Styela clava: one gene and its partner. Each later gene encodes a partner of the first gene's protein in a complex. Links are inferred from orthologs where the notes say so. Each region holds a gene or a part of one and is shown in the gene's direction. Other genes may lie near its edges. The genes, in order: uncharacterized protein LOC120335522 and ADP-ribosylation factor-like protein 1.

Region 1 (17,649 bases):
TGCCGCAGTTACGCGTTTGTTAAGAGAGCCGACTTTTTTAGTGTGTAATGGCCTTTTCTGTCGCACAATATTCAATCCGTGACAATGACGAGAATTTAAAATGTCTTTCTTTTTTAACTTAATTGTGTTCATGGTAACTCGCGGTTGCGTCGACTTACGATAAGATGAAAGCATTACTTCTTTAAAATAGAACGACAATCTGCAAACATAATAATGTGAGAATATATTGCCCGATTGTATTTAGTTTTGATACATACTTTTTGCGATCTTGCGAATTTGTTATCGCCGTTAGAAAAATCCTACTATCTGCAATAAGTTTCCAGAAAGTACCACTTGATTTAGTACTTATAAAAAATATTATTTAAATTCTATTAGTAAATCAAAAATACATAATCATCGCATTGCTTTATTATTGATTTAATTGGGACCATATTAATCTGCGGTTGTGTTGACGAAATAAAATCAATAATACTCAGATAATATCATGGCAATCCGTGGACACAATAATGCGTGGTGAAGTGCCCAATTATATTTTGTTTTGGTTCGTATTTTTGTAAATTCGACAAATCTGATATGTTCGTACAACGCCTATGGCGCCACTGTACGTACTTATGTACGCTACTATACGTACCAATAGGAAGGCAATAAAGCAAAGAAACTCAAGGAAAAATGCTCCTATACTACGATCGCACCAGAAATTTTGCGATTTGCAATGTCTAAAAAAGCGATTTAAATTTGGTCGGTTTTATTTTTATTATTGCCGCTTTTTAAATTGGAAAACTTGGGTTGCCACCATTGACACGTATCAGAAAAATAATTTATTCCTCGTTGTTCGAACTCGCAAGAAACACCACTTGGTAGAAGCGTGTACAGACTCGTGTTTTCGTCGGAAACTTGCCAGTGAGTTGTGAACTCCGATCGTTTGATTAAGCGACGCGCAAGTGACCTGTTGCTGTCCCTTGTTACCAAATTTTCGCATAGTTAATTCTTATTCTAATAGTTGAATATTCGAATATATTACCAGCCCTAATTGACTCGAATAATGATATGCGAATTAACTTGCATAAACCAGACATCGCTAGAGGACCTGAACTAAAGGACAAAGTTGAAAACCTAAAAATACGCGCCCGTCCACCAAACACAGTCAAATAACACAATAAAATAAAAATACGCGATACAGAATCAGGCAATACCTTCAATAAATCTATTCAATTATGCAAATACTGATCAGAATGTGAACAGGGCAACACTTTATAAGAAATAAAAAATTGATAGTTTTTTTGTTGTCACGGTTGTGACGTTTTATGTAAATTTTAACGTAACTCGACATTTGGCTGATTGTTCAGTTTCGCAAAGACGTTTGCGGCCCGCAGTGAATTTCTGGCTCGTTGCGGACTCATTCAAATGCTCCGCGGACTCATTTGAGAGCGCGAACTCTGGTTGGGAAACACTGGCTTAGCACGATGAGCCACACCGCCGCGCCAGAATAAGAATGAATATATTCTCATTTTTTTATTATTATTAAAAACATTAATTTCTATAGACAAAATACCACATAAATAAAATTGCACTTAAAATAAAAATACGAGTTCGTGATAATTTTTTTTTTCCATATAGACTGTCAGTTTACCATTTTGCAATATTTTTTTTGAGTAATAATTAATTGTTTCCACGAAAAAGATTAGGTCTGATTTCAATTTTCTTCCGAAAAATAAAACTAGGGCTTATTTTTGGGGGATGTCTTTTATTTTAATTTATTAAAAACAAAATTACAACGTAGAGAAATACGAAATTTTCAAATATACAAAATATAAAAACCGATATGCATTTACCAATAAATAACACGTTTTTATTAAGAATAACTGCAAAACATAGATTATTATCAACCATTTAAAACGTGTAGGGGAGATTTTTTGCTATCGACTAGGTAAAAGCAAAAAATTTTGGTTATTGACTAGGTCTTATTTTAAGGGGAGGACTCATATTAAAATCATTTTCGGAATTGAGGCTGGGTCTTGTTTTCGGGGAAACACGGTAGTTATTTTTTTAGTATTTTTATCATATATGAAAATTGAAAAAATTGTGGCCTTCCATTATGTTTTTTTAAATTTAAATTTTCAAATTTTAATTTTTTGAATATCTCGCACGTAATATATTCTTACGGGTAGTGCGGAAAAATTCCTGATGGGTTATTCCAGTTCAGATGAAAAACATATCTTCGATTTGTAATACTTATATTTATTTATTATTTGCTCTTATCACATTTATTTTTGTAGATGATCAAATTGAAAGAAAAGTGATGTTCTCATTTGATTCCGGTATTTACAAAAAACTGGAACGGGATCATATAATCAGCAGCTCCGCCCCCTTTTTTGTTTGGCCATAGCAACTTCTTGGGCAACTTGTTATGATAACGCTTTTTCACTGGAGGCGGCAGAGGGAATCGGCGTTCTGTATTGCTGATTTATTCCCGTTGCCTGCGTTCAAGGTGTAGGGTAGACTCGAGTCTGTTAGTTTTGCATCCCAGATTTGAAAGCACACGGAAAAGAGAAAGAATATTAGAATTAGACTGCTTGAAAAAGCTTCGAATACCATTCACAAAGCTAGAAGGTTTTGTACAATTATGAATGTAGGTGTAAATCGGTCTTTCATAAATATGTAAATCTTATCCTAACTGCAGAACTGTGCCATACCGTACTGTTATAGCATTCTTATTAAATATATTGCATTGAATAATTTATATTTATCCTTAAATCAAAACTATATCAATAAATTCACTGGATTATTTATAACATAGGTATTATTCTCAACAATGCTTTGAGAGGAACTGCTATTATCTCCCTGTTCCTTTTGATTTGTTATTCATATTCTGTGGTGTTATTATGGTTCTTAATATAATTTATTGCTTCAATGTTATCAGCAGTCTTCTAAACGTGTTATGGAAGCAATTTGTTTCTTATTCATTCATGAAATAATACTTTAAATACGTATAGATGGAATTCGTTATTAAACAAATTCAGAAATTGTGCAAAATTCATATGGGAAAAAGTTGTTCCAGTAATGAAGTTAGAGAATAATAGTTTGTGCCCTTTAACATTGAACGATCAAGGATACAGAATAAGTAATACTTAAATAAAAGTGGTTTCCATCTCACCTGCCTAAGTAGATACGAATCTGTTAAATGCAAAGAAGAATTGGACACTACTGTGAAATATTAGTTTAAACCAAATGGCTGCTCACTTTTACCTGTGTTATTAAGTTTTTTTAACCAATTGATACCCATTGTGTTTTTAGCCATGTAAGTAACAAGTAAATTTTATTCATATCTGAACATGACATCAAGTTCCGAGTCCTCACCTGATGATACACCTCGTCCATCAAAGTTTGAAGACTTTGATTTTTTCGATTCTGACAAAGATGTAGGAGATGAGAAAAAAGTATCTAATACATCAAAATGGAGCGCAAAAACAGTAAATTCTTCTGAAAGAAATCTGCATGATGAACTTCATGGCAGTGGCATGAAGAATGATCAACTTGGTATGGGTGACCTGCATAAAAGTTATGATTTATCTGAATCTGAACATAAAACAAGTAAAACTTATACTTCAAGTACAAAGGTACAGATCAAACAAATTTCTCAAACGACTACCAATTCTAAACGAAAACCTAAAGAACAGTTAACCGTCCATGTTCCAGTTCAAGCGTCAATGAATAAGTATAATTCCTCGTCGAGTGACGACGATTCCTCAGGTTCTGTGACAGATGTTTCTCCCTTGCCATCACCAGATATTACACCGAGACCACGTACAATTCCCCATGATGAAGAAAGTTCACCAAACAAAAGAAACAAAATGAAAAAAGAAACTAAAACGAAATTCACAATTAAAGAAAGTGGTATTGAAGATGGGGAACGTCCTCATGCTCGTCGCGCGAATGGAGAAACTTTATCTGTTGAAGATATTTTTTATTCTAGTGACGGCACCCCTTTAAGCAGTGGTGAAAGAGATACTCAAGCCATAAGAAGAAAACGAGTTCAGCGTAAAAAAAGGAGTCGCTATGAGGAAATTCAACAAAGGATGGAGGCGTCATCTCGTCATCATCGGAGGAGATTATTAGATGTCGCAGCAGAAAATTCTATGGATTTAAGTCAATTACTGGAAGTGGTTTTAGAGATGGAGCAAGAAGAGAAAGCCAGGAGGATGTATCAAAGCCACAAAGCATCTAAAAGTGTTTTACCTCCCCCTTTGAAACCATCTCATAGAAAAAACATGTCCTTCTCCAATCAACAAGTTCGTGATATCGACTATGAAAATCAAAGATTGCTTCAGCGTTTAGCCCAACTTAACACTCGACAACGGCCATCTAGTGCTTCTAGTGTGAGATCATCTGCATCTTCTTATAGAAGTAATGCAAGCACAAGTAGAAGCAACAGAAGACCAGCAACAGCAAGGAGGTGGGTATGAGAAACGATCCATATGATATGGATCTTTCATTGTAATTTAAAGTATTTGTATTAAGCCAACACTGCGGAATATATCTACTTTTTGGGGTTATAAAACTTGGGATGGGTGTATCACCTTAACTCATGCCATGTACTCGAAAGAAATTGGATAGTCACCGAATTTGAAAAATTTTGGTATTCCCTGATACCCTAAATTGCAGTAACCACCGCTATTGCAGGACCTTGCTTGAAGCAAGGTGTTGGAGCACTCCATGAAGAATAATACCGTCATTATGCATTTCCAATCAGAGATAACCAAAACTGAATATTTACTATGATGAATACACTGTAAAGTATCATAGTATTTCTGAATAATTTCACTAAAGAACTCATAGAAGTCCATGTAAATTAAACAGTGATTTGATTGGTTCACTTTTTTTTTAGTTTTCTAAAATTAAATGAGGGCAATTTTGGTCATAACTTTGAGATTTTGAATTTAATTATATTAGAATATTTCTGCGGTATCGATATCAGCATTTCTGAGAGTCCGATATATTACGAGTGTTTTAAATTGATCGAAAATCAATTCAATTGGCGCCCGAATTACGGTGATTTGATATAACATTGAAAGGCATCCTCAAATGTCTTTTTTAAAAAATCATTTGCTACTGATGCCTTGAATTATTATGAACTAAATATTGTATATAAAGCCTCGTAATCTGACAAATATTATTTTATATATTCATTTGCGGCAGTATAACTCTCTATTGAACGTTCTATTTGAGCAAGTTTGTATCAGCAAACTATCTTACGATTGGATAATTCAATATCTGTATGATTTTTTTTTTTTTATATAATTTTTTTTGCAATATGTACCTAATACAAATCATGCATTAACAGACCATCCCCGGCACAAGGACCAAGGGTATATCACTCAGCTACAAACAGGATTCGTGACCAACAAAGGATTGAAAGAGAGAACCTGACAATTCTGAAAAGACTGCAATCAACAAAAGCAACTGGCATTCTCAAAAGGGAAAATTTATTACGGGATTATGAGAGACAAACTGGTAGACCGGTTGAACCGGGACGACAGCGCAGAAGACCGAGATCTGGTCAAACAAGACAAGGGGATTATGAAAATGGGTCTATGCAATTTTCGCAAAGGAAGGCAAAACCAGTTTGGCAAGATTCTTGGTGAACATTAACTGTTAATCTTGTTGAATCGAGCTTTTAAATAGGTATATGTCTAGTAATATGGAAGTTCCCAATTTCTTACAAATCAAATTACTGGTGTTATCATCTCCCGTTTAATGATCATGATAGATATTATCATTTTGTATTTTTAACATGCTGTTTTTAAATGGCCTCGTAAACAAACCCTCTCCCAAATGTGAAAAATTTGCTAGAATCAGATTACCTGACAAGCATGTGGTGTACAGACAAGAGGATAATAATGTCATTCAAATATATTATGTATAATTTTAAATAAAGAGCATCTTTCACTTAGTTGATAATACCAATTCAAAATCATAGGCAGCGATAAGTTTTATCATTTTTTTTGTATAATCAATTGAAAAGTCTTTTTTATTCCAATATTAGAGTAGAATAATAAACTCTGTTTTCCATTTTTTCACATTTTAATTGCTTTCGCATTGCATTTTTGTTTCTTCCAACTTTTATTTCGGTAACATGCAACACCAAATTAAATGACAAGAAAATGGAATTTTCTATTCGATGGATTGATATGTGTTTGACAATAGTTAAAAGTGATCTATTTACCTAGCAAAATGTTTTTATACCAATGCACTATGACTATATGAATCTGAATATCTACAAAAATGCTACCGGAACAATATGAAAAATTCATGACTACATTTTTTCTATCCTTAATTTTACAAAATTCTATTCAGGCATTCCCCATTATACTGAGAGATATTTGGAGCTTTATAATGTTCATAATTTTGGCAGATTCATTGAAATTTTCGAAGCCACCACCAGATAAGGAGTTTACATCCCTGAGAGCTGTAAATAATTTTCTGCATGCACTGTGTAATGGAGCAAAAGTAATATATTTTATTTGTTATAGTGATCTTCATAAACTAGTTGTTTAAATAAAACAAAATCACAGATTGTGAATAGTGGTTATCTCTTCTGCAAAGGAATTAGAATGGTATGATAATTGCTAAGGTTACGACTTCTTCTTCATTTATAAACAGGCTTGTAGTGCGTTAGAGGTAGCCTCGTCATGACGTTTTTGCTGGTATTTCACTGCAAACTGTTTTCTTAAATGTTTTCTTAAAGAAGTATATGCCAAGTCCACGGGTCTCGGTATCCTGAATCTCCTTGTTACATATTCACAGGCAACTAAATAGTACAATTGTTGAGATTATATTTATTAGTAGTTCAACATGTATGATAAAATAGGCACAATGTATTGTTAAAAAGGTGGCATATTGTTAAAGGAAAACTGCATTCATCACTCTATAAAACCAGACAGTAACTACTGACAAGAAAGAACAATAACACAATTTGACGGGAAATTCTATCATTCATTAGTATTCAACACGTTCAGTATCCATATGAAGTCTCAGACGAATTTGAAAGTCAAATTGATATCGTTGACCTTGCATATATTGATTTTTTTTAAATTGGTACATTACATGCGGTGCTTCAAAATGGCCACTGCTACCTGTGACAGGTAAATGTTGCTACATATACCATTGAATCTGTGTGCAAAATAATTCATAATATTTTGTTTGTGCTAGATATGCCTTTGTTAATTTGGAAAATGAATATAAATATTCAAGCCAAATTGACATAATGGGTGTAGGAGTGATGCCACTAAACCCCAGTCAGAATCCAGAAGCATAATATTCAATATAATCTACAAACAAGTTTTATTTATAAACATTAATTCCACCAGAAACTTACAGAAAAGCTTTTATCTAGCGATCTAACATAATGCCAGTAACCAGGAGGTATATAAAGCATCTGGCCAGGCAGTAAAATACATTCTTCCCTATGATTACGATCCATTTCAGTAAAAAGTGGAAAATTTGTATCATCTGGCTTTTCAACATCAACTTTTGATGTGTTGTTTAACATTCCCTCATGGGGGTAGAGAGCATTCTCATGTGAAGGATGATATAACCGTACATATTTACGTCCCGCAACTTGACATAACAGATTGTGTTTTTTGTCATAATGACATGGTGAAACAGTGCCACCAGGTCCAAACCAAGCATTTATTTCGGTATCAGTATCAGGGTCCCAATCTGGCATTTTTGAAATACAGCAATAATCTGGAATACATATGTCATTTCTAAGCAGTGGGATTTGATCAAAAAGTGTATGTTGTGCTAAATACGCTTTTGATGTACAATCATCATTAAATATATATTTTTGAATGAAATTTGAAATAGTCATTAATTTTTGACCCCAACTTTCATCAGTGTATTTAGCACCAAGTTCTACAGGTACAAGTCGGTGTCCTGCAATATTGTTAAGATACTGAAAATTCCATTTAGCCATAGCAGGCCAATGATCAATGCAATCGCTAAGCACCATGGGAAGAGCATGGTTCATAAAATCTTGGAAAGAAATTAAAGATGGATTTGATAAGACTTTTATTGGATTATGTACTTCTGGATCTAGTTCATAATTTTCAGTGTTTTGGGTCTCAATATATTTCGGTTGGGCAGGTTTAAAAATTTTAATAATTTTGTGTAATATACCATTCATTACATTATGGCCCATTAGCAAGCCCATGTCAGAGACTCTACAAATTTCTATCAAATCGTCATCTGTTGTGGCATTATAGCCCAAACACGAAGCTTTGAAGACACAAGCAAATGAATATAGTTTTTGCCACACAAGCGGGACATTTTTCCAATGAAAAGAATTCAACTTTTCCCATGTTAAGTCTAGTATCATTTCTGCATTGTCAAGACATTTTTCAATATTGTTTTCATATAATAATGTGCAACATTCTTTTAAAATGAATAATGAGACATTGTCAATCTTATTGCAACATACATGGAGACATTGTACTATTGTATGCTCCATTTCTGAGTCTGTGCTAGGTAATGTTTGCTTAAGTTCAGATTTGCGAGTAGTAAAATGTAGTATTGCTTTCGGAGATTCAAGGTTAATACTCTTTTCTGAGGTCAAGAGTTGGTCCACCATCTTCATAATTCCCTGTGATCTCAGCGTTACTGAAATCGAATCCTGGATTTTCGAGTTCAAATCTTTCGAGAGTCAAATTTTTTTGCATTTGATCTTTCGTTAAAGGGTCTACAGCAAATTCTCCACCCTCAAATAATGATGGCCAAAAACAATTTTCTTTCTTGCGACTGCGTTTCACAAGCAATATTCGGATTAATTTTTGATCTTCCACACTCCAAGTTGATTCGTCCACCAATATTCCTTGCGGTAGGGGGCTGTTAAATAATTCCTTCCCCCTCACAACGCAAGATAAATGCTGGGGTTCAATCACCACATTTACTTCTTTCCCCCTTGTCCCTTTCTCAACATCAACAACAACAACCACGTCCTGCACAGTTTGATACCAATTACCCCAGGGAGTCTTGCAACATGCAACACCGCTTCTTTCGTCGAAATCGCTATTCATTTCAAAATGTAACTCCAAGTAAACGGAAAATTCTACGAGAATAAACCGCTCAACTAGTAGCAATCGCAACCATGTAACAAATGCTTTTCACCGAATAGGCTATGATGAACTTATGCTAAAATCATGGTTAATTAACCATGCTAAAATCAATCCTCCACACAAGAGTTCCAGTGGTGGATAAGATTCTATGCGGAACGTCACCAATCTTCCGTAATTAGTGGGCAAGAATTTCCATTTTTCTAAATGTATTTTACAATCTGAGATTTCATTTTTCTTGTATTAACAATTGTGTAAATATATTTTTTGGCTACTACACGTTTTCTTGGATTGCATGATGTAACTACGGTATTTATTTCCGCTCAATCAATGACTATTACATGCTACTGAAAATTTGCATCGTAATTTCACTGCGACGTGTTAATGTTATCGTCATCTTGAATGTGTTATAAGTTAGATCTAGGCTATATGATATCTCGTTTTCTCTGTTTTACTGAAATTGTTTTCGATTTATATTTAGTCTACTGGGTACCGGTAAGCTGGCAAGGGCGACAGGTTCGCCATATGGTTAAGCCGTCTTATCGACTTTCCTCTTCCCGGGATAAATATGCAAATCTGCTCAGTTCAGCAGTTGGATGGCATTTTAGATTCATATGATAGGCGCTCCATAGTTATGTAATGTACGGTAACTATATAATATAAGTAGGCCTACTGTTGTCATGAATCTCATAATTTACTGTGATAAATATTTTTTCAACGTGCAATAGTGAAATAGATGGACAGATTTGACAATTTTTGATACTCCAAACTCCAAAGTTTACTCTTTGTGCAGTCAATAATTTATTGCTAGAATAGAAATGGTTTCTGGATTATCGTAATTTAGTTCTGTAGTTTTGTTCCATCTTTGTCAAAAGTTCGTTAATAGGCTAATTCATATCTGCTTTAATTTATATATGTCTATTCCTGTACTGTTGTAGAAATATTTTTGTATAGAGTTGCAATGCAGTTCTAATTAGTTCTCATTTAAATCCTTGTCCGAATTTATGTTTATATCTCATAAAAGCGCCATGTGTACTCTTCTTTTTCTTCAATCAAATTAACTTAATAAATAAATTATATTACTGTTGTATCGTTACCTCCCAGTCATACTGTGAACTTTTGTTCCACTTATTTTGTTATTGAAATTTTTTATATTATGTGTTTTGTTTGACGAAATAATAAATTCTCTCTTTTTTTATCACTGACTTATACTCCTGTGCTTACTCATCTGTAATTATTTACAGACTTTTTGATCCACAGACGTTTCGCCCCCTCAGACCATTCCAATCACTAGATGGCATATGGCGATTTGAGTTATGACTTTGACATGGCAGTTTTTTTAAATTATATTAAATAAACACTCAAATATTTTAAGATTTAAGTGATTAAGGATATTTATCCACCACATTAGTGCCATATATGGGCAACCTGTGGCTTCTGTACAACCTTAACCCTGTAACCCCCTACCCATGCCCAAATTTCCTATGAATCCACATGTATTTTTAGGCAACTCCAATGCCAATGTATTATTAACAAAAAGATTAACTCAAACTGTCTTATTTGGCAGAAAAGTCTGTTGGGTGAAAAGTCTGTTTATCCCCTCACATATAATCACCTCCCATGGGATTTGAACCTGTTCAGGGTAATCAGAGATGCGATGGCTTACCATGATGCACCGACTGCCGAGCTGATTCTATTTTAATCCTAGTGGATAGGCAGATTTTGCATATGTTAACTATTGCATCGGGAAATCCTCAAGTCCTACAATTAATTACAACTGATTTCCCAAATTAATATTTGCAGATAATTTGGTTGTAATCATGTTTAAAAACTTGAAACAGAAAGTATCTACTGATCAAAAAGTTCGAACTCCACAGTCTGCCAATCGGGGTGATGCTTCAAGCACACCCACTGGTCGTACTGGAACATCTAGATTGCCACGACCATCCAATTCAGCGCCACCCAGGCGATCCAATTCTGAGAGTTTGAATGGTGCCAATGGTGCAGCTACTAAACAAAATAATGAATCCATGGAATCACCAGATATTGTACAACAGGTGGGAAATATATCAGGTGATGTTTCTCCCAATCCTTCAAATCATGGAGAAACGGATCAAGCACAAAAAAGTGCTCAGATAGCTACTGAAGCTGAGAAAAAAGTTCCATTTTTCAAGAGACTAGAATTTTTGACTCCTCTTAAAGATCAAGTTGCAAATAAACTTTCGGAAAGTAAGGAATCAATCAGTTCTCTCGTTGACGAAGTTCGTGGCAATGTAACAGGTTCTTCCAATGAACGATCTAAACCGGATATTGTTGCACAAACTAACGATCGTCGGCGAAGTGATTCCATTTCAGATACAGAAGAAATATCAATGAATCGGAATGCTATTGATGTAAGTGCAATTCCCAAAGAACAACTATTTGCAAAAGTAATGAGACTGGAGAAAACTCTTCTTAAATATAGAGAAAGATATGCAGAACTTGCTTCTAATTTTCGTGAGGCGAAACAAGAAAGAGAAAAGTTGCAATCAGTTATGCAACAGACCCAAGATAAAAATCTACGCAGAATTCAGGAACTCAAAGAAGCCGCAGCGTTGGATTTGAAAGCCAAAATGCATCTCGAAGAGGAGTTTCGAGTTTCTCTGGAAGAAAAAGATCAAATGATACAAGTGCTTCATACTCAAGTTGCAATTCTTAAAGATGATCCGCAGAAGTCTCCACCACCAGTACAAACTGAAACTGCTCAAGGCCAGGGAGATGATTCAAAGCTTCAAAAAAGGGTCAAAACCTTAGAAGAACAACTCAAATTTGCTAAAGATACTTGTGAAGGTCTAAGAAGCCAAGGTGATGCTTTACAAGAACAACTTAGTGAGCGATTAGAAGAATTAGAAAACCTGAAAGATTCGAACGTTGCGGAAAAGTCGAAACTTATCAAACAATTGCGTGAAGCAAAAAACGTTATTGAGAAAATTGAAGAGGACAAAGTCACTGCTGTTGCAGAGGCCAAACGACAAATGCATGAGATTCTTGAAGGTAAAGATATCGAAGTAGAATCCTTACATCAACAAGTCAAGAAACTGCAAATTGATCTTGATGAATTTAAAATGAAGAAAGAGCAACGGGAAAATTCTTTGTTGGAGGAACTTCAAAAGGCAGTTACTATTGGTAGAACAGCAGAAGCTCAAAGAGCTGATGCTTTATTGAAAACTGAAACTATACAGAAAGAAATGGAAGGCAGAATTACAAAGATTGAAGAAGAATTTGATGCGGAAAGAAAAACTTATGTTTCTGAGGTTTCACATGCAAAAGCTGATAATCTTGATATTAATGAGAAACTTGAAAATGTAATGAAAAAACACAAAAGTGATTTAGAGGCTCATACAAAAATGCATGAAGTTGCATTGCAAGAACAAGCAAAGAAATATAAACTGGAATTGGATGAAAAAGAGAATCAAATGAGATTAGCAATTGAGGAGAGAGAGCTGAATAAAATGGCTGCAGTCTCACAACAAGACACTGAAGCTCAGAATTTGTTGAAACAACTAGATACAGAGTTGGAGAATGTTCGTCAAAAAGTGGAAGAGCTTGAAAAGGCAAGAGTGGATGAGGCCAACAAACATGAAGAGGAAATTACCATTCTAAAAGACAATTTTCAAAAGGCGAGTGAAGAACATAAATTCGAACTTGACAGCCTTAAAAAATATCATGATGATCATATGACTTCGAAGGCTCAAGAGTTTTTAGAAAAATTCACAAATCAAAAGAAAAAGTTTGAAAACAAACTTCAAACAAAAGAATTGACATGGACTGAAAAGTTAGCAGAAGCTGAGAAATCATACTTACAAGAAGTTGACGATTTGAAAACACAAGTAAATGAACAAGGTAAAGAGAGGAACGAACTTTTTCAGCAACAAGCAGAGAAGGTTTCCCAACTCGAAAAAGAAGTCACTCTGTTGAATTGTGATAGGGAAGCCTTAAGTATCAAATTTTCGCAAATAGAATCTAAACTTTTTGAAAGAGATACACAATTGAAGGATTCTTTAAACGAATTAGAAGAAATCAAAAACAGTGCAACTAAAGAAAAAGAAGATTTGAATTCGAATATTGAAGCAAAAGATAACATAATTAAAGAACTAAACAGTAAAATGGAAAACTTGCAGCAGGACTTTTCACAGAAAGAACAAGAAAGCTTACAGCAGAATGAAGTTTCTCATGGAGAACTTGAAACGTTGCAGGAAAATCTGAAAAATTTACAATCTCAGAAACAGGAACTTGAACAAGCTTGCAATGCTGCTGAAGAGAAATTGAAACAAAGAGAACAGACAATGAAAAAACATGTCTTGGATATGGAGGAAAGCCATAAATCTGCAATCGGTGATTTATCATCACAGTTAGATAAAGAAAAACAGGAATCTGTGGTGAAAATTGCTACTTTAGAAAAAGAGAAATTGGATCTTCAGAAATTACAAGAAGAAACAAATAAGAAATTTCTTGAAGCTGGTGGAAGATTAAAAGCACTTGCCCAAAAATTTAAAGCCACTGTTAAAGAAAACCAGACGACTGTGACAGAGAAAGAATCTATGATTGAGAAGTCTAAAACGGAATTAAATGAAATCAAAATAAAATTAGAACAACTGGAAGGACAAAATAGAAAAATGGTTGAAAATCATGAAATGCGATTGAAAACAATGGAGTCTGAATGGGAAAACAAACTGAAAAATGAATTAGAAGGCTTGAAGGAGAAATCTGAAAAAGAATATGATGCGTTAAAAGAATCAATGATAAACACTCACAATCAAGATTTAGAATCATTGAGGAATAGTTTGAACAATGCTTTTGATGAGAACAAAAGTCATTTAGTGGAAGAATTAACGAACAAATTCAATACTGAAAAGCAAGAATTATTAACTGAACAGAGGAAGAAACTTGACACTGAAATGAGGAATTTAGAGATGAGGCTGCAAAGCGAAACATCTGATGCCACTGACAAAGAAAAATCTCTTCTACAGTCCCTTCAAGAATGCCATGAAAAAATTACTGATCTCGAAAACGAGCAATCACAAAAATGTAAAGAACTTTCTGAAGCCCATGAGAATTTGGCATGTCTCCAAGCAGATTATAAAACAAGTACTGAAAAGTTTCAGAGTAATGAGATTGAAGTAACGAATCTAAAACAGAAAGTAGATGCTGCTGAAGCTGAGCTTTCCCAATTTAGAAAGTTAAACTCTGATAAAGAATCTCAAGTTGAACAATTGATGAAGGATCTTGATATATCTAATGATAACTTAACTCAGTTACAAAGTGAAATAAAAAATCTTCAACAGCAATTAGAAGACAAATCTAATGAAGAAAAGAAAGTTGCTACTGAATTGGATGCCAAGATTTCAGAATTTAATAAACTGACGGAAAATTTCAGTGCTCAGTCTATTCAGTTAAAAGAAGTTCATGCCAAAATTTCAGAAAATGACAAGTTTTTAGAAAGCTTAAAATCAGAAAATAAAGTACATTCAGGTAAATTTGAAGCTCTGACGAAAGAGCATGCTGCTGCTTTGGAAAAGCAGAATAGTGATTGGCAAACAAAATATACTGAATTGAAATCTAAAGCCGAACAAAAAATAGCACAACAACACTCTCATCTCAAAAATGCCAAAGCTGAATTAACATCACAGCTAGAAACAATCCACAAACTTGGTGAGGAAAAGGCCTCTGCTGAAAAAAATATTCAACACCTTACTGACAGTGCAAAGCTTGTACAAGAAAATTTAACCCTTTTGGAACAAAAGCTTCAAGAGACTGAAAGTAAACTTATTGAACAGCAAAAATTTTCTGAGAAAGTTAAAAAGGATGCAGAAATTGCAGAACATTCGAAAAAAGACATTGTGGATGATTTGCAACTACAAATAAAAAACATTATGGAATCTTCTAAAAAACAAAGTCGAAATTATGATGAAATGATCAAGAAATTGGAAGAGGATGTAAATGAAAAGAATGAAAAAATTATGGAATTTGAAAAAGAAATTGAAAGTTTGAATTTGAAGCTTTCGGATGTCAATTCTTCATTTGATGGTTCACAAGTTCAGTTGAAGGAGAGAGATTCAACAATTTCTGATTTAAATGAAAAGCTGGAAAACATGAAATTAGAAATTGAAACTAAAACTGAAGACCTTGAAAACTGGAAAAAAGAAAAATTGGAAAACGATTCTTCAATGAAACTAACGCAAGCGGAAAACAACGAAATGGCAAAATCTTTAGAAAAAGTCAAAAAAGAACTTGCAGAAAAGGATGCCATTGTTGTTGAGAAAACAATACACTTGGAAAAAGAATCTAAAGAACAACTAGAAGCTCAAACTACGAAATTAAACCAAGAACATCAAAAGAAAATGGCAGATTTGAAAAAGAAAGCTGAAGTTAGACTCGCTCAAATTAAAAATACTTTTACTTCCCAATTAGAAGAAAAACTGAAATTAATTTCTCAGTTAGAAGATGACAAGAGTTCTTTGGAAGAGCAAATGGTGCAAGCCTTAGAAGAAGCTAATAAAACCAAAGAAACTGCTATTACTGAGAACAAAACATTGTTGACTGAATTTGAAAGCTTGAAAAACCAATTTGAACAATTACAAAGTGAAAAACAAGAAATGCTTTCGGCATGGGAAAAAGAAAAATTGGAAATTGAAGCTAGAATCAAAGAGGAATCTGATAAAAATATTGTCAATATGATGGAGGAAGAAAAATTAAAGTACGAGGATGAACAAGCTCAACTTGCCGAAGTGAAAGATCGACTTGAACAAGTACTTCAAGAGGCAAAGCTAAAATTGCAAGAAACAGAAAAGAAAATGGATGAAGAAAAAGATCGATCGGAAATGGCACTACAGGAAGAAAAAGAAAGGAGATTGCAGAGTGAAACACAATTGTTGGTAGCAAAAGAAGATTTTGCAAACGAAATAGAGAATTTGAAAAATAAACAAAACTTATCAGATGCTAAAATTCTTTCCCTTGAAGAAAGTTTAAAGAATATGCAAGAGACTATTGACAGCACGGAAAGAGAAAATTTGAATATGATATCAGCTCTTGAAGCCCAATTAGATGCTGCTAGAAAAAGAAGTGAAAAGTTGGAGAATGATAGAGAAACTGTAAAGCAAAATTTAAATGATACAATTGAAGATTATGAGAGGAAAATGCAGTCATTACGAGATGAAATCAGTTCATCGCAAAAACAAATGGAGGTTTTGTCTAAAACTTCAGTTGAAGATAAAGATGTGGAAGTTGAAAGAAAATTAGGAAACTTAAAAGAGGATTTTGAAAGAAGGTTGCGAGAGAAAGATGAAGAAACAACAAAGAAGATCAAGAAAATGATGACTGAATATGAAACGCAAATTCAGAAAAATAACGAGAGTTTCGACTCAAAACTTGAAAAAATGAAGAAAAAAAATTTATCATTTGAAGATTCAGTGCGATCTGATCATCACAAGGAACTAGTTTTTCTGCAAAGAGAAATTCAAGGAAAAGAAGAGAAAATGGAAGAAGTTGTCGAAAAGTACGAGTCAGAAATGCATGAAATGGAAAAAAATATGTCCGAACAAGTTGATAAAGCCATGTATCGTGCTATGACTGCTGAAAAAAAATTACAAAGTGCAGACATGGAGCAAGAAAATGAAAATTTGAAAAAACAACTAGCGGAAGTGAATAAAATTCTTGCTGATACGCAACAGAGGGAACGCGAAAATGAAATGATGCTTCAGTCGTTCCAAGCGAGAGTGTCACTTGCCACACCTCTCGCCGATCCAGATAAACTTGAATATCTAAGGAGGATTTTGTATGAATATATTATGGGAAATGAATGTGGGACTATGGCAAAAGTTTTAATACTTCTACTGCAATTTAATGAACTTGAATCACAACAAATTCTCGAAAAACATGGCTTAGCACAGAAATAACGCTATAGATTGGGGTACAAGACTTTAAGAATTTTCGTGAATGTGTCTCACTGTTTTTATCATATAATATATATACCGTACATCATATATGTTTTTTTTTTTGATACATTCAGGTATGGACCACCAACTATTTTATCACAAAATTTATTTACTTTGTGAAATAAATCGCATTCATTGAACAAAATTGTCTTTGCTAAAATATGTGTTTATAAATTGAAAGCAAGTCTATAATATTATTCGAAAATTCTAAAACTGATTATATCTCTCATTAGTTTTATAGTTTAATGAAACATGTTTCAATTCTATTCTGCGATATACCTATACGGTGCTATTTAGGTTGCTTGGTAGAAAGTATTGTTTTGGTACATCTACCATATTGTTTGGTATATTGCATTTTCACACTTGTGCTCATGTTATTCTTTTCATACCTGAATTTGGATTTCTTGTTATATTGATTTGTTATTCCATAAGCATTATTAATATGTGTGATGTTCATGTCCCATGATATTTCATTTGCTAAGTGCAATATTCGGAAATTATAAGCACAGTTGGTTGCTTTTATTTTAGATTTAAAGCAATTTTCAATGATTCATTCTTGTAGCAAG
Region 2 (15,804 bases), on another chromosome or scaffold:
AAATAGAAGTCTGTGCTCCTTTATCTGGGCTAATCATAAGCCCAGAAAATGTTTTAAATGCACATACAGTAAGGCATCCCAGACATCCTGACACTTTGCTCCAACTGAGATCACGTGCAATTTCAGTTTTCACAGCACCAGGATGTAAACTATTCGAAGTTACGCCAGTACCTATCAGAAATAAAGTCGTCGTCAGTAGAATAGAATATTTGGATGTTCGCAGGCTGATGCGAGTCTTGGTGAACATGAGGTCTGTCGCAAGAATGGTAATTTTTATACGAAGGGCCTCGACTGAAGAAGTGTTATTTGAATTCAATATTATATATACTATTATCATGACTCAAAATTACATAATATATAGATAAAGACGTACAAAATTATACTTTTGACATGCACAAATTATAGAAAATTACTTCTCACCATCAAGTCGTTTGCTGAGTTCTCTTGAAAACAAGATATTCATTAGTTTGCTTCGACCATATGCTTCCGGGCTAAAATTATTTTTTCCGTTTGGATCTTCCCAGTCAATTGTTGCGTATTTGTGACCGACGGAGGAAACGTTGACGATTCGACTTGGAGAACTTTTCTGAAAATGATTTTAATGATTAAGTTCGTTCCTTCAAAATTTGCTAGCGCAATTTTAAAAACAACGGTCACATATCATTTGAATCATTATGGACTTTTTGCTATTCTTTAATAAAGGCTTAACGAGTTATACATTATTCCATGCTATATGGTGCGGAACGATGAAGAAGCTTGAATATTATTGAGTAAACGTATAAGGTTTAGAGTTGAGATGCTGAGTCCGCCTTCTTGTTTGATTATAAGCCTTTATTGGAGCCTTGTTCAATGAACTAATTACATGAAAGTTTTACCTAATTAGGTCTTCAACGAGCCACTTTGCTGTTTACCAAACTTGTGAAGTGTCATGCTATCCGCTTGCAATATTGCTTATGTGAAAGATTTAAATAGTTTATCAAATTATAATAAATTAGAAATACATCAGCCTACTTTCAATAATTCCAAAAGTAAATTTGTGAGCAGAAAAGATCCCAGATGGTTGACTCCAAAATGCATTTCAAATCCGTCTTCAGTTTCTTCATATGTCGACAATAGAAGACCTTTAAATTTATTGACATATGAAAATTAGCCTATGAGTAGAGGGGTGAATATCAAGACTACATTATCGCGATGCACGTACCTGCGTTATTTATTAATATGTCAAGTCGTTCTTCGGTTGCATTTATATCCGCAGAGAATTTCCTAATGGAATCGAACGATGCCAGATTCAGATGTTTTATGAATACATTGTGCGACCCCGTTTCTTCTATAATCTATCAAACAAAGCACCAACAGTTATAATTTTCTAATTTATCTTTACCTAGGGTGCTATAAAACTGAACTTATCTATTTTGATTCAAGCTTGAAAAGCTTGTCAGTATATATCACAATATTTTCCAAGAATTATGGTTTTTGTAACCACATACTCGTATATATGTCACTTTGTTGGCAAAACAGCGTTTTGTGGATGGACATGTATATACATGTAAAAACCGCTACAAAGGTATTGAAAACTTAAAATTAGCCTGCATTTAGTTTATCGGGCTTACATTTCGTGATATATATATATATATATATTATTGGTTGTTTTAGTCCTAGTGTGTGGCTTTGTGAATCTCGTCGGCAAACGTCACCAATATAAGGCGGGAAAAATAAAATTCTCACAAACAGCGTAGGATAGTCAAAATACCAAAGAGAAGCATGATTGGAAATTAAAACAAACAAAGCAAGACTCACTTTTTGCCTGGCTGATTCTGCTTTTTCTAAATTTCTGCAAGCAATTATAACTTTTGCTTTACGTTTTGCAAGATTAAGTGCTGTACTGAACCCGATGCCCGTGTTAGCACCGGTGATTAAAACCGTTTTTCCTTCGATTTCCAATTCTTTTGTCACCCATCCTTTTCTTACAATTTTAGTTTGTGCCATCGTGACTGCACACGAGTTCGCAGCGCAAAAGCAATGCATTAAAATGACACAGCAAGTAAGGTTAGCATATTGAGTGATAGTTTCTCCATACTAGAATATGTTTGTTGATCTCAGGTGAAAGCAAATATATTTCTTTAAATGTTTACTCTCCACATAACCAAGCTTTGCAATGCATTTTCAGTTCTAGAATAGTGAATTTGAAATAATTTTGGTCTTTAAATTCAAAAGTAATTATAGTCCGGCAGATAAGGGGCCTTTTTGGGTGCAACCTTGTTTCCAGACATAAAGTTTTTTTTTATTTGTGATTATTCATCTTGGGGTCATTGCCCATCATTTCTACATGAGTTTGCATATTTGTATTAGTGTTTTTCGTTAAATCGGTGCACCATAATGGCGCACAACCTGAACCCTAACCTGTTGCAATACAGTTTGTGCGCCATCTTGGTGCACAAACTACGGAAGCAACAAATGTACCAGAAAATGAAAATCAATAACTTTTAGGTATTTTTTGAACTCAGCTTTGAGTCGCACCCATATATATGGAAATACTGTTGAAACATACGCGTAAAATAAAGAGTACTATTTCAAAGCATGTTGCAATTAACAATACAAGCCCGCTAATGCAGTCGGCAGTGGTTCAAGTGGATATACACCCGGCGGAGAACAGTCAATTATTTGCTAGCAAGGATTGTTATGCAGCGGGATGATCACAACGATGCATTAAAAGGTAATGCAATCACGAGAACAAAAATGAGAAAATTGCTACATTTTATAGTATATCCCTGAGAAAGAATGTATTCTTTTGTTCCATGCCAATGCTTTTCAAACTACCAAAGACTCTCAACACTTTTGATTCTTCTCTTCTATAAAAATACATTGTTATTATATATTCGCATTTTTATCTGTTTTTCCGTGCTCCTAGACAACCGATCAGTGGCCTCCAAGGAGGCCGGGATCCCCTTTTAGGAAACCCTATAAACTAAAAGAGTCGACCGTGCTTCTCTTGCCTGTTGTCATGCTGTCCCTCGAATTCAGCTACAACAAAAAATTCACAAAAACGGGTTTTAGATTTTATGATTTCATTGATATTCTCGACAACGAATGATATACGGGTGGTAAAATGCCAAGGTATTCCAACAAAATGATCATGTTTCTTACAGCCAATATTTTGTATGTAACTTTGTTTGACAGAGCCCCATGCAAGAGATCTAACTACAAATATATATTAAAAATGTGAGGCCAAAAAAGTTACACTACAACATATTCAAATGTGCTGTATATACGATAGATAACAGGTTTACCAAAAAGCATTACATGAAAAATGGTAAAATAAAGATCAATTTAGCAATCTACTTATTAGGACTTGACGATATGCATCTGTTGATGATTTTATGTGTTCGTTTCGGAAGTTTGATGAGAAAATTAATTGTAGTTGTTAGGGATGTTTTAAAGAAAGGTAAAGGGAAAAAATTGTTCACAAAATGTTAAGGTTTGAGAGTAGTAGAGAAGTAGAAAAATACTCCCTTTCTTTTGTTTTATTCCTTTAATAACCACACCACAGAACTTCTCCGATAAATATACGCAGCAATTGCGAGAGGCAGAAATGCCAGAATGGGATTTCATTGCATTGCAAACCAATATTAGCGATTTTTAGATATATTCGTGCATTCCCATCTGAAAAGCGTGAAAAAGATTAAACCTATCTACACATTACTACACAAAAACTATGTCAGATGAGCGTCATATTATCGAATATCAGTAAAGGAATAGTGCAATGGGAAAAGACATATAAGGCGTAACTTTCAGTAATATGCAATCAAATAATCTTATTTTAGAATATATATTCAAAAACGTTTCGTCACGCCAACCGCAGTCCGAAACTTTTTGTCTCTGGCTGAGCTTAGATACCACTTAGCACCCATGTAAACTGGTAAGAGGCACGCGATGGAGCAGATAATATGAGTATCCATCCCCCAGCTGTCATTTGAGTGGGTACTGCTGTTTTTATTGTAGATAATACTGATCTTTTTGTATTAAAGATTTACTGGCTTCACCGATTTAAGGATGTCAAATGATAGATATAAACAAACCAGTTGAAAACCAACACGCAATAATACCAAACTTTCTTCCAACACGCGGTTTGAATGAATGAAAAAACTGAAACTAGTATTTTTTAGAACAGCATACAAATTATATGGAATAAAATCATACACAAAGGCTCGTCAAAAACCTATAGCTCAATAAACAAGTGGAATTTGATGCATGTTCGCAAAAATGTGCGCGTTACTACATACAACCGAAGCACGCAGGAAATGTGTGTGATCTACTATAGTGATCAACAATTATGTTGGCATAACAGGTGCACATCTCGGTTTTGCATACGCATACCTTCTATCTCCACAAGGATATATTAATTTGGCCAAAGTCAATGCTGCACCTGAAAGATTCCGGTTCTTCCAAAAGAAAACACGTTACCTATCGTTAGATACCAGTTAACGGTTTTACATGGCCTTGTTCGGAGTGAAAGACGTGGTCGATAATTCCAATTCATTTCAACTAATAAAATATTTTCCACGTCCCTAAGCTTTAAGCAGGAAAACGAAATGCCCGCGGCAACACAAATGTAGTTTGAAGAGCGCAAAAGAAAGTGGCTAGATGCTGGCGATGGATCTTGGCTTATATTAGTGAAATAAACTACCATTTATTCTACTAAAATTTCTGACATTGTAAGAAGATTCAATGTTATTATATATTCAAAACTAACCCATGTAGTAATGAAATAATTGTTTTTAACAAAAAGGTGCTCCCGAAGTATTCGTACCAGGATGGCGCACAAACTGAACATTGTACGTGTCCAGGTTAGGTTTCAGGATGTGCATCATCTTGGTACGAATACTTAAAATCCACTTAGAAAAAATTGCTCAACATTATATACTCCACACCCACCTGGGTATCATTATTTATGTCATCGACATATATATATATATATCTATATTTAATTTAAATATCATAAATATATATTTATCCAAACAATAAAAAAAATATCATGTCCCAAAACAATGTTAAGGCCCGATTCTGCCGGACTATAACCCCTTTGTAATCTTCGCTCTGGAAATGTGTGAATAAATAAATATGAAATGAATAAAAGCTAAATTTCACGTTCATGCATTTGAAATAAGATATTAAGTAGCCTGCATTTAGTTTGAATTCTGTTAGGGCGTCGAAACGTTTCTTAAATGTGTTATAATAAATAAGTTCAATTCTGAAAATTCGGTTTTCTGTAGATAAATATGATTTTTCCTTGGTTCAAAAACGCGTTTCGCAAACTATCCCCTTTGCAATTTCGCATTTATGTAAGCAGGATTCTCTACCATGGCTCATTACGTTTGATTTCACTGACTGTTGTTAGATTTTGTTTGTTGGTTTATAGTTCATGGGCGGTCGGGTGTCCAACCTGTTTTCGACCGCGATCGACTAAAATCGTCAAAATAGCTCGCAATCGATTGATCGGTAATAACGTCTTGCGAAAAAAACGAACGAGTACTGAATATATAGATAACTGCACGCACACATCCAAAAAAACGCCGCTGCCCATAAGATCGGTTATTTCGACGAATTCTTAAAAATCGTCGCAAAAATTTGTATTTTTCATGTCCGATTTAATTTGTTAATTCGATTATGTAAGTGTACCCGGAGTAAATGTTTCATCATTTATTTAAGTTTTATTCAAATCATACAATTCAGATCCAAAACCTCCCTTATTTTTTAGCCGTATATAAGTGTTGAAAATTTCACAAAAAATGTCTAGTATCAATGTATTATCTATTCCCAAACCATAAATGTTACATGACCGCTCAAACTTCAGTATATATTGGAAAAATTGGACATTCTGATGCAACTGCTATATCGTTGCGAATAAAATTTATCATACTATACTCATGCAGCGATAAAGAAAACCTTCGTATACTGCAAAAGTTATTGTAGGATCGCTTTTCAGTCAAGACACACGATGTTCGACAAGTTCATTTCTAAACCTTGGCAGCGGAAGTCGCAACTTGAGCATATTTTTGGAGGGCGTCACAATACAATGAAGTTCGAGAACCACTAAGTCCTAGTTCAGGGGTGGGCAACCTTTTTCGGCTCGCGTGCCAAAATCGGCTGAATTTAACGACAAAATTCTTCCGCGTGCCGACCAAAATTAAAAACAATGCTTCGCTACTTTCAAAGCAAAAATACACATTAATTCACCTTTTAAACATATACAGACCGATTGACTACTCGGGAAAATACCATTCCGACAAATAGACTTGTTTACTTTTCTTATTCTATATCAGTGAGACTTCTGCTGCTGCATTACCGCTGATAGAAATTTTACATTGGGTTAAAATTATTAACTTTCAAAGAAATACACGAACTGTTACGAGACTTGATAAAGTTCATAACTAAGAACAGAGATTCACAAGCATATGTAGATGAAAACATGGAGTATTGCAGTTGCAAAGTTTTTCAGACACGAAAAAATCCCAGTCACACAAGTTCGTTTTTTGCACTTCTCTATTCTATTCCCTTCCCTAATCGCCAATATTTCTCTTGAAATCAATTTATAACAGTAAGTGACCAAGTAACTATAACCAACATGTGCTGTACAACTTCATAAATCAAACAGAAAGGACGAAAAAGGGTGGTACATACAAACTATATTACGTAAGTGTAGCAGCCATGATTCTAAACGGTGACCGCTATTATTGTAACTAAACTGGCAACTGTAACTTAGGGCATTGAACCCCGACCATTTTGGTGTTGGCGGGATCTCTTTCGGCGTGAGCCGCTTGGAGGTAGGACGTATAAATTTGTATCTTAATCAATCGGGGGGCTTTTGGTATTATTAATTAGGCGTAGGTTAAATTTACATCATATAATTCTATTTCCCTGTTTCGTATAGTTATTATTGGTCCCTCCTGTGTAATAGCACTGTATTTTACCGGATTACTGTTTGACAACTATTTCATCATTATTTGACTACTATTTTGACTCAACAATAAACATCTTTGGACAATCGTTTCGAACTTTGAAAGGAACTCAGACAGAACCGCGTCATCAAATATAAAGTGCCTGTACGATCTATTTATTCCAATCACCCTAACGAGCACATCGCCATCGTATGGTGCTGAGCCGTTATAGTAAGAATGTATCCAAATGAACGCTGCGCTCTTCTCGTTCTCGACAAAATTTCGCGAAAGCTCTCTCATTTGTTATGTCATAATTTATTTCTTTGTAGCCATATTTCATGAAAGGGCAAAAAGAGTTCAAATGAATAACGGATTGTTGACAACCGATGATGAATAAATGAACACCTAGTTTTATCAAATAATTCGGAGTCTTGAAACTATTTATCTGAAGAAGATGAATGAATAAATGAACACCTAGTTTCATCAAATAATTCATCGTCTTGAAACTATTTATCTGAAGAAGAATTATCCCCTTTCCGAGGCCTCGCTCGCGTGTCGAATAAATGGGATCGCGTGCCGAAGGCCAGCGGTTGCCCACCCCTGTCTTAGTCGATAGAAAGAAAATTGGAGACAATTTCCTATTTTCGGGGAAACATGGTATGAAGATGTCTTAACTCGAAATCGCGAAATTATTGTTTTACACTATTTTTAATAACTGTATTTTGAATCAAGAGTCTGAAAAAGTGCAAAAGATTTAGTACTTTGTAAAATTGGTGTTCTCCTTGCGGCCCCTAGAATTCGTTTCGCGGCCTCTTCCAGGGCCGCGGCCCCTAGTTTGAGAAGCCCTGAGATAATATACAACAAACGACTCTATAGTTTGTAATTATCAGGGCTTGCAAAATATTTAACGGGTCGTTATTTTCAGCAGTTTTCACCAGATATCCCCTTGCTTTTGTTTACACATAGTCAATCAATCAATTTTATTTGGTCACTCTGATAGAAACAAAACACAAACCAACAACAAACGGACAAACAAAATACAGAGGACCTGGAGGACGAGCATAACTTATTAAAAAAGTTAAAAACGTACAAGTACGTGCCCGTCCACCAAAAACAGTCAAAACACAATAAAACAAAAACACGATATAAAATCGGGCAATACTCTTAGATTAAATTTGAAATGTGAAACGTGTATGTGTAACACAACAGTGCTCTTCCTACAAAACTATGGAATTAAAAACACTCGCTGACGTAAAATGGTGATGCTGTAGGCCTAGTTCAATTTCATTGCAAAAAAAATGACACAGTGACAAAAAATTGTACTAAAAAAAACAAGCTCGGTAAATAGATTGAATGTTCCATAGCAGTCTATGCACAAATCATGGATTGGTGTATCGGGTTCTCTTGTCGTTTTCGAATAGTTCAATATAAAATCATTGTATCCGTTCCAATGCTTCCAACATTGATATCGAATTTCCACGAACGACCACCATTCCAACAGGTGCAGTGGTCCCATCTTTTCTGCGCTCTGTTCCATCATCCACAACTAGATTCATAAAAGGATCGAAACCTAGCAATATATCCGTAACAGATCGTCCACCATTTAACTTTGAATCCAAATTTTTATCCATAAACTTTTTTTAATTCCGGTGGATGGGCTTTGCTCATGTTGATATTACCCGATACAAATACCGAAACATACAGCGCGTAGCATTCTCTAGTCCTTTCAAGCAGACGATAGTGCGATCTTTTATCTCACGAGTGAAAAATAAGTGTGAAGTTATTGTCGGCAATTGCAAATAAAAGCTGGAAACAAAACTAAAGAGCTTGTTTTCACATTATCAGTGCAACTTGCGGCTCCATCATCTTCGTGGGCCATATTCGATGCTATGGATGACAACGTCTAACCATAGATTTTACATGCATTGTCTCTGGTCTGACAGTGAATTGAGTATAAGTATATGAGTTTTATGATGTAAATGTCTTATATTCGGTTGAAAGCTGACGTTTACTATTTAGTTACCGGTACTATCTTTACGTCCAGCAGCAAAATCCATTATATTAATTAAGGTTATTTCCTGTTACCGAATTCTGCAGGCCGCTTTGCCAACTGGCAAACGGATTTGTCGTAACTGTACTCATGACGTGGAAGGCTTGTGTTACGCTCGATTAACCGACACTGAAGCAATTTCACCACGGTTTCTGTTTCTGCTTGCGTTGCAGCTGACTGAGACGTTCCGAGGTTACAGTTTTTCAGTATTTCGTATTCAGTACTGTAACGTTAGTTATGATACTTGCAGTTATAGTCTATAGTTCTGAAGTTACAAACGCCTGCAATTTCTTGGATACGACATAGATTCAGTTTAAGTCCTTTCATACAGATACAGTCATGTGGCAAATTCACGCTAGTACTGTAGTAATTTCCACCAGACATCCCTGACCTACTTGGTTACCCTTTGTCAGATTCTAGCTTTTCGTTGTGGTAATGTTGCTTTAAGTTTTAACAACACTGAAAGTACAATTTTTAGGTACCACTGGTATAACACAAATATGAAGGTAATCATATCAGCATTTAGGAAGGGTATTTTTGTATTTATAATCTAAACTGTTTAAAGTTTCGAATACCAATTTTGGATTCTTTTTAATAAAACGGGAACACTTTGTATCCAGTATTGCTGGACCGCCTGTCGATCGTTTCATCAAGTTGAGGGCTCTCGGACTTCACCATTTCATACCATTGTTTCCATATGTTTGAGCATTCATGTATCTATCGGCAACTTATTTTATTAAGAGAGCACATCAATATAATATTTAATCCTTGAATTCATTTTACATAGATAAATTCAATATATATATATATATATGCGTCATAAAGGAATTTATTAAACAGTCAATTATATCATGGGGAATCTGTTTGCTTCATTATTTTCATCACTGTTTGGACAAAAGGAGCGTCGAATTCTTATCCTGGGTTTGGATGGTGCTGGGAAAACTACAATTCTATATAGGTTACAAGTTGGAGAAGTAGTCACAACAATTCCTACAATAGGTTTCAATGTAGAAACAGTTGTTTACAAGAATCTCAAATTTCAAGTCTGGGATTTGGGCGGTCAGACCAGCATTCGTCCCTATTGGAGATGTTATTACAGCAACACAGATGCTATAATATATGTTGTGGATAGCGTTGATCGAGAACGAATCGGCATATCAAAACAAGAATTAATAAGTATGCTGGAAGAAGAAGAATTGAAAAAATCACTGCTGTTAGTATTTGCCAATAAACAAGACTGTGAACAAGCTATGTCACCAGCAGAGATTGCACAAGAGCTCGGACTTTCTAAACTGAGAGATAGGAAATGGCAAATTTTCAAAACATCCGCATTGAAAAATATTGGACTAGACACAGCAATGGAATGGCTTGTGTCTACACTTCAATCAAATTAGGAATATCTATTTAATATAATTTTCTTCAATATAATAGCTTATATAAAAAGCTAATGAATTAATGCTGTGCTAGTTAGATCACAATCCGCAACAGTCGGACCAATATACAAGCTGAAAAGAGACAGCAATAGTTTGTACGCTCTCCAGGAAATAAACCTCACTGAACTTCATGCATGGTCCGCGCTTTCTTAAAACCAAACATTCTATCAATAACCATTATGATGAAATTGCCACTCATAATTAGCCTAGCTTTTTTTAAATGATTTGTGTTATGGAAATATTCCAAAAAACAGACTAAAATTTAAGAAATTGGTTAATTCGCTAGCATAGTCATGTATTTTCATTTTTGATCCTGGAATTTGTTTATATTTAGTCTGATGTATTGTATATATGTATTTGTATTATATATTTGTTTGTGAATAGTCTATCTTAAATTTTTACGATACCACTATGTCCATTCTGGATGAAATTGAAGCCGTGAAGTCTATTTATTGTCAGCAAGGAGAGTTTGAAGCTAATGATCTGGAAAGCTCTTTATCTAAATCGTTTAAACTCAATTTGACACACGCGGAGGAGAATTGTCAACAACTCAGAATTACTTTTTATATATCTCACAAATATCCAGAAGTTGTGCCACATGTGACAATTGATTCACCAATGCTGACAAGAGAATCTTCCTCTGGACTGAACAGCGAGATGTCCAAGTTTGCGACAGAGAATAATCTTTTGAACAGTCAAATGTTATTAGACCTTATATTGTGGATTAAAGATAACGTGGCAAAATTTGCTTCTGGTGTAAATTCGAATAGACTTCAGGGTTGCGGAGATGAAGGAAGTCTTGCTAAGAATAAAACGAAGGAAATTTGTGTGATACAGCTTGATCATATGCGCTCAAAAAACAATTATCTAAAAACGTTACAAAAATGGGCAACTCGATTACAAGTCCAGGGTGTTGTTTTATTTTACAAGCATCTCATTTTTATAATCTTGTACGGTAACAAGAATGATATTAAAGAATATTTAAAAAAGATGCGAACTCAAAAAGTTGATATTGATTCAGCTGGTCATGCTTGTAAAGAACGGCTCATGACTATTTTATTAAGAGATTCTTATGAAGACGACCTTGTACCATTTGAGGGCTTCCATGTTCATGAACTGTCCGAAATAAACGAGGTGGAAAGCCTGTTTAGTGAAGGATTCACGTCCATGTTGTATGACATACTTAGACCATTGCTTACTCGTGCGTAAGAGTTCATTTAAATTCATTCATGGCTGTGAACAATAGAATGTGCTAATTGGTTGTAAAAATAAGGCCAAACACATGCTATGTTCACATTACACATTAAAATTTGTTGCTGTATTCTATTCTCGTCACATACTAGAAAACCACATTTTATCTGTTTTGAAAATCTTATGGGTATAATATCCAATATTAGTTTCACAATGTTCATACACTTGCTTTGGCTGTTTTTACTATATTTCTAAGGAACCCGTTTGGTATTTATTGTAAATGGTGGCTCGTCATTTTTTCATCTAAGGGATTGGCTTGTTTTAGCCTGCTACCGCATAGCTCTCTTATTATCTCCACTGAATTTGCCACTCACAGAATGTGTATTTTTACCACCACTGCACATTTGTTTGAAATTTTATATATACAACATGGTACATTATGGACACAAGAATTGTTTCTATCATACGAAATAAAGAGTATAATTAGATATTGATGACTCTTGATAGTTTTTGAACTCTGTTTAGCAGCAAGTCTCCTTTCTTTATTGTCTCCTGATATTGCCAGTTCTTGCTATCAGGTCTGTTGGTCTCAACGATCCCACCGACCTTATCAATTTTGCAATGCAGTCTCCCAACAGCTATGAATCTTGACAACTCCCTGTGTAAACGAGATGAGATTTTTTTTTTATTTGCAAGAATTAGGTTGATCGTATCAAGGTCACACTCACTCGGAAACAGAGGACGCCGATCTCTGAGCAAAGTATCAGAGGGCTCGTGAGACTATATAGATGTAGATATTCTTTTGGAAGGACAAGTGAATTGCGTGAATGGGAGTTAGCAGTTCAGATGCCGAATACAATTCATACTAAACTGATATACTCGATTGATAGTGATATTCATTTACTCATCAGGCAATGCAAATTGTCCACATTTCTGTTGCTCGTATTCGAATCAAAAGCAGAGTCCAAGACTCAATTCAGACAGACAAGGATTGAAAATTTTCAAGTACTTAAGCCCTTAGTTAGCGACATTCCAATTTCTAAATGGAAGATCAAGAAGAAATTTTTCTCGTATGCAAAGTAATAACAATATCCACATCTGGTAGCTTCCCATTGATGGTACAAAGTTCACCCCATAGCTAATATAATGATTCAGGTAAACATACCTATCAATGAATTCAACAGTAACTCCAAATGCTTCAGCCATATATTCTAATGTAAGACTACGATATGATTCAAGGAGTTGTGTATAAGCAAGTATTCTCATCTCACGAGTGTAGTATCTATAATGAGGATTCAGCAATCTATCTCTCTTCATTTCCACCTCAACTTGAGCTGTAATATTCAAAAATAAATAAATTTCACTTCTTTAATAAAAAGATAATATGAAATGAATTTAAGACATTTACATCCTTATTCCAAAATCACATCACACAGAGTATTATATTACCCAATGAAAAACAATTATTAAGAATTCAAATTTTCCACGTTCTAAGTCATACCTAGACGCTGGAAAAACTCTGCATAATGACAATCATACAATGAGAACAGGTAACTTCTGCATTCCTTATTGCTATGCAAAACTTCCAAGATTTCTGAACCTTTTACAACCTGAATTGATGTTTGAAAAGTTAGTTCAGTTATATGATTATAACCTGCAAAAATAGGGTAAACGATGGTTCAATTGCTAGTAATTACTCTTATCAACACTTGGCCCAATGTCCTAACTATAGGCTTGAATTGAGTTATCAATATATGTTGTTAATATGTACTGAAGTAAATTGTAGTTAAGTTTCGCATAATGATAAATCATCACTGAATTGTGTAGTAAAAAAATGTAGTAAAGTTGTGCATTAAATAGAACTCACTTTTTCTCTTAACTCGGTTCTATCAAGAGCAAGCATACTGATGTAAACAGCATATGTGACAAAGCATTTGTAATCCATAAGTTCATAGGATGTGAATGTTGATACAGTATCCAGAAACAAATTTGCTGATTTCTTGAAATCTCGAATCGCAATACAATACAAACCTTCATAAACTTTTAGTCTGTTTCGCCGATCCCAATCACCACCTTCCTCTATTAAACTGAAAAACAATAAAAGTTGGTATAGATCGTTAACAATCGTTATCACAAACACTTATCATAAACAGAAATAAATTGATGTATCGTGGTGTGAAAATGTTGACATCTGTACCCTGGTCACACTGTCTACCAATCCAGGATGTAAAAAATGAAGGCAGAATCGCTAGATACTTGCTACTTGTACATGGCTTTGTTTCGAGAGAAAATCCAAATTATATATCACCTAAGGACAAATAGTGCATGCCACAAAGGGCTTAATTCTAAACTAAAATGCACAACAAATATATTTCATACATTTTTGCCTTCTCTATGCTCTTGGTAATCAGATCATGATCCATAAAAAACAATCCCAGTCGAATTCTGTAGAAAATGATGTCAAGCTTGTGTCCAAGTGCAATGGTCTTATCATATGCTTTCTGGAAAACTTCGAGAGCGTCATCCTGAAAGTTATTTGAGGAAAGGCATAAATATATGTAATTAAGACTAATTTTTACGAGCATGTCTTTACTGTGCTATTACATATTGTTGAAAATCATGAAATTGTAGACTAATATTAGAACATTTAGAAGCTATATTGAATTGATGAACAGCTCATTTCTAAACCTTAATTGGAAGTGAGAGTCCTGACTTTGCATGTTTTTATTGACATTGGAGTCGCATTTTCAAACCCCCCGGAATCCGGAATCCAATTGAATATTTCAGAATCTGGATTGCAGATTTCAAACATATAATCAAAATGAATAAAGTTGACAAGGAAGGCTTGCATGTGACAAAGTTATTATAATCAAAATTTAAACTTTCTTCAACTCGGAATCGAGAGTCTGATTTGTTTTTCAATTGAGTCGGGCAAAAATGATCCCAAAATCCACAGCCCCAGTCGACTGTTATGAATAAACATTCTAGGGAATTGTTGTTACCTTGTTACCAATTTTGCACAAATATTCAGCCTTTGCAAGTAAAGCATCTCTGACTTCACTTTCATATTCCATTTCTTCAGTTTCTGTTATTTTATCTTCAAGTTTTTTTAATGTCTTCTCATTTGTATCCTTCAATTTCTTTAAAAGTGTATTGTTAATTTTCATTCCAAGTTCTTTGCAAACAATTTCATAATAGGGTGCCATCTCTGTAAAAAAGAAAACGTCTAAATTACACATCTTGTGGCATATTAATTTATTATCATTCAAGCATATTGATGATTATTGGTTGGTTGGAAAAGATGGGTCTGTATAAACTGTTATTTCAGAATAGGAGGTAATTCTACATTTAGGTTGGCACCATAGTAAACAAGAAGTTAAAGTCGGCCAACGTCAAGTTTGAAAAGAATGAATTTCGATTAAATAATGGTCATTGATACAATACAAACATTAATAATACAAACTTGTCACGACTCATGAACACATTGTTCATATATTATTCAATCAATCTTAAACTGTATAATCGTCATGTTTTCTCAAACTTAAAACAAATCTTAAATAAAATCATAAATGAGTTTTCATGAGTTTGAGAACAATAATACTGTAATAAAATGCAATAATATTCAGATAGAAACACCAATTCTTCTTAAAAACCAATTTGAGGAATTCATCCTAATTTTAGCAAAATAACTTCTAAAACTTGCCATTTGCTTCGATCGCTTCCATAAATTGTTTTTTAATTTTTGTTTGCTGGATTTCCTCATCGTCCGACGTTAATAAGAACTTCAACTGCGCGACTTCCAAGTCTGGAATCTTTTTCAGACCTTCTTCTTCTAAATTTTCAACCGGCATTATGTGATGTAAATGTATAAAATGCTGAAACTAAATAAAGACGGATTGAACTGAAACGCTACAGATAGATCAAATAAGACGAACACACACTAACTCAAGAAATGAGCTGATTCATATAATATGATTAAGCGATATTTTGATGGATTTATTACGTCATATGAATTAATGTTAATGTCTGTAACCACAATATTTTATTCAAGAAACACTTTTAAAATATTTTTATTCATTTATTTTAATATTTACATACATATTGAAACTTATTTTCCCAAAAGTATTCACTTCTCGTTGTAGTATGTTACTAGGTGTCACAATAAGTTGTTTATTTTTCATTTCAGAAACGCATG

The links.
Region 2: the proteins of uncharacterized protein LOC120335522 (region 1) and ADP-ribosylation factor-like protein 1 are in contact, whole or in part, in a crystal structure (PDB 1UPT), measured with the Homo sapiens proteins. The link is inferred for Styela clava from reciprocal best matches to the Homo sapiens genes GOLGA4 and ARL1. Residues at the interface, in NP_002069.2 of Homo sapiens: Thr2173, Glu2174, Glu2176, Tyr2177, Lys2180, Val2181, Glu2184, Glu2190, Thr2193, Lys2196, Val2197, Thr2200, Val2201; in NP_001168.1 of Homo sapiens: Ile49, Gly50, Phe51, Gln64, Trp66, Ser73, Ile74, Pro76, Tyr77, Cys80, Tyr81, Ser83, Glu115.

Annotation. Positions count from the first base shown.
Region 1 is NC_135251.1:16,295,436-16,313,084, forward strand, and holds the start of uncharacterized protein LOC120335522, read left to right. Parts: upstream 1-10,881; 5' UTR 10,882-10,930; coding exon 10,931-17,044; 3' UTR 17,045-17,649. Other genes in the region: uncharacterized protein LOC120335523, read left to right, coding at 3,333-4,453, 5,342-5,642; bifunctional peptidase and arginyl-hydroxylase JMJD5-like, read right to left, coding at 7,355-8,629; nudC domain-containing protein 2-like, read right to left, coding at 8,592-9,074. UniProt on the Homo sapiens protein: Involved in vesicular trafficking at the Golgi apparatus level. May play a role in delivery of transport vesicles containing GPI-linked proteins from the trans-Golgi network through its interaction with MACF1. Involved in endosome-to-Golgi trafficking.
Region 2 is NC_135258.1:11,551,557-11,567,360, reverse strand, and holds ADP-ribosylation factor-like protein 1, read left to right. Parts: upstream 1-9,763; 5' UTR 9,764-9,836; coding exon 9,837-10,379; downstream 10,380-15,804. Other genes in the region: retinol dehydrogenase 12-like, read right to left, coding at 1-171, 421-586, 1,012-1,121, 1,202-1,334, 1,798-1,986; RWD domain-containing protein 3-like, read left to right, coding at 10,830-11,627; 26S proteasome non-ATPase regulatory subunit 6-like, read right to left, coding at 12,093-12,267, 12,775-12,943, 13,111-13,219, 13,477-13,696, 13,989-14,134, 14,612-14,817, 15,313-15,460. UniProt on the Homo sapiens protein: GTP-binding protein that recruits several effectors, such as golgins, arfaptins and Arf-GEFs to the trans-Golgi network, and modulates their functions at the Golgi complex.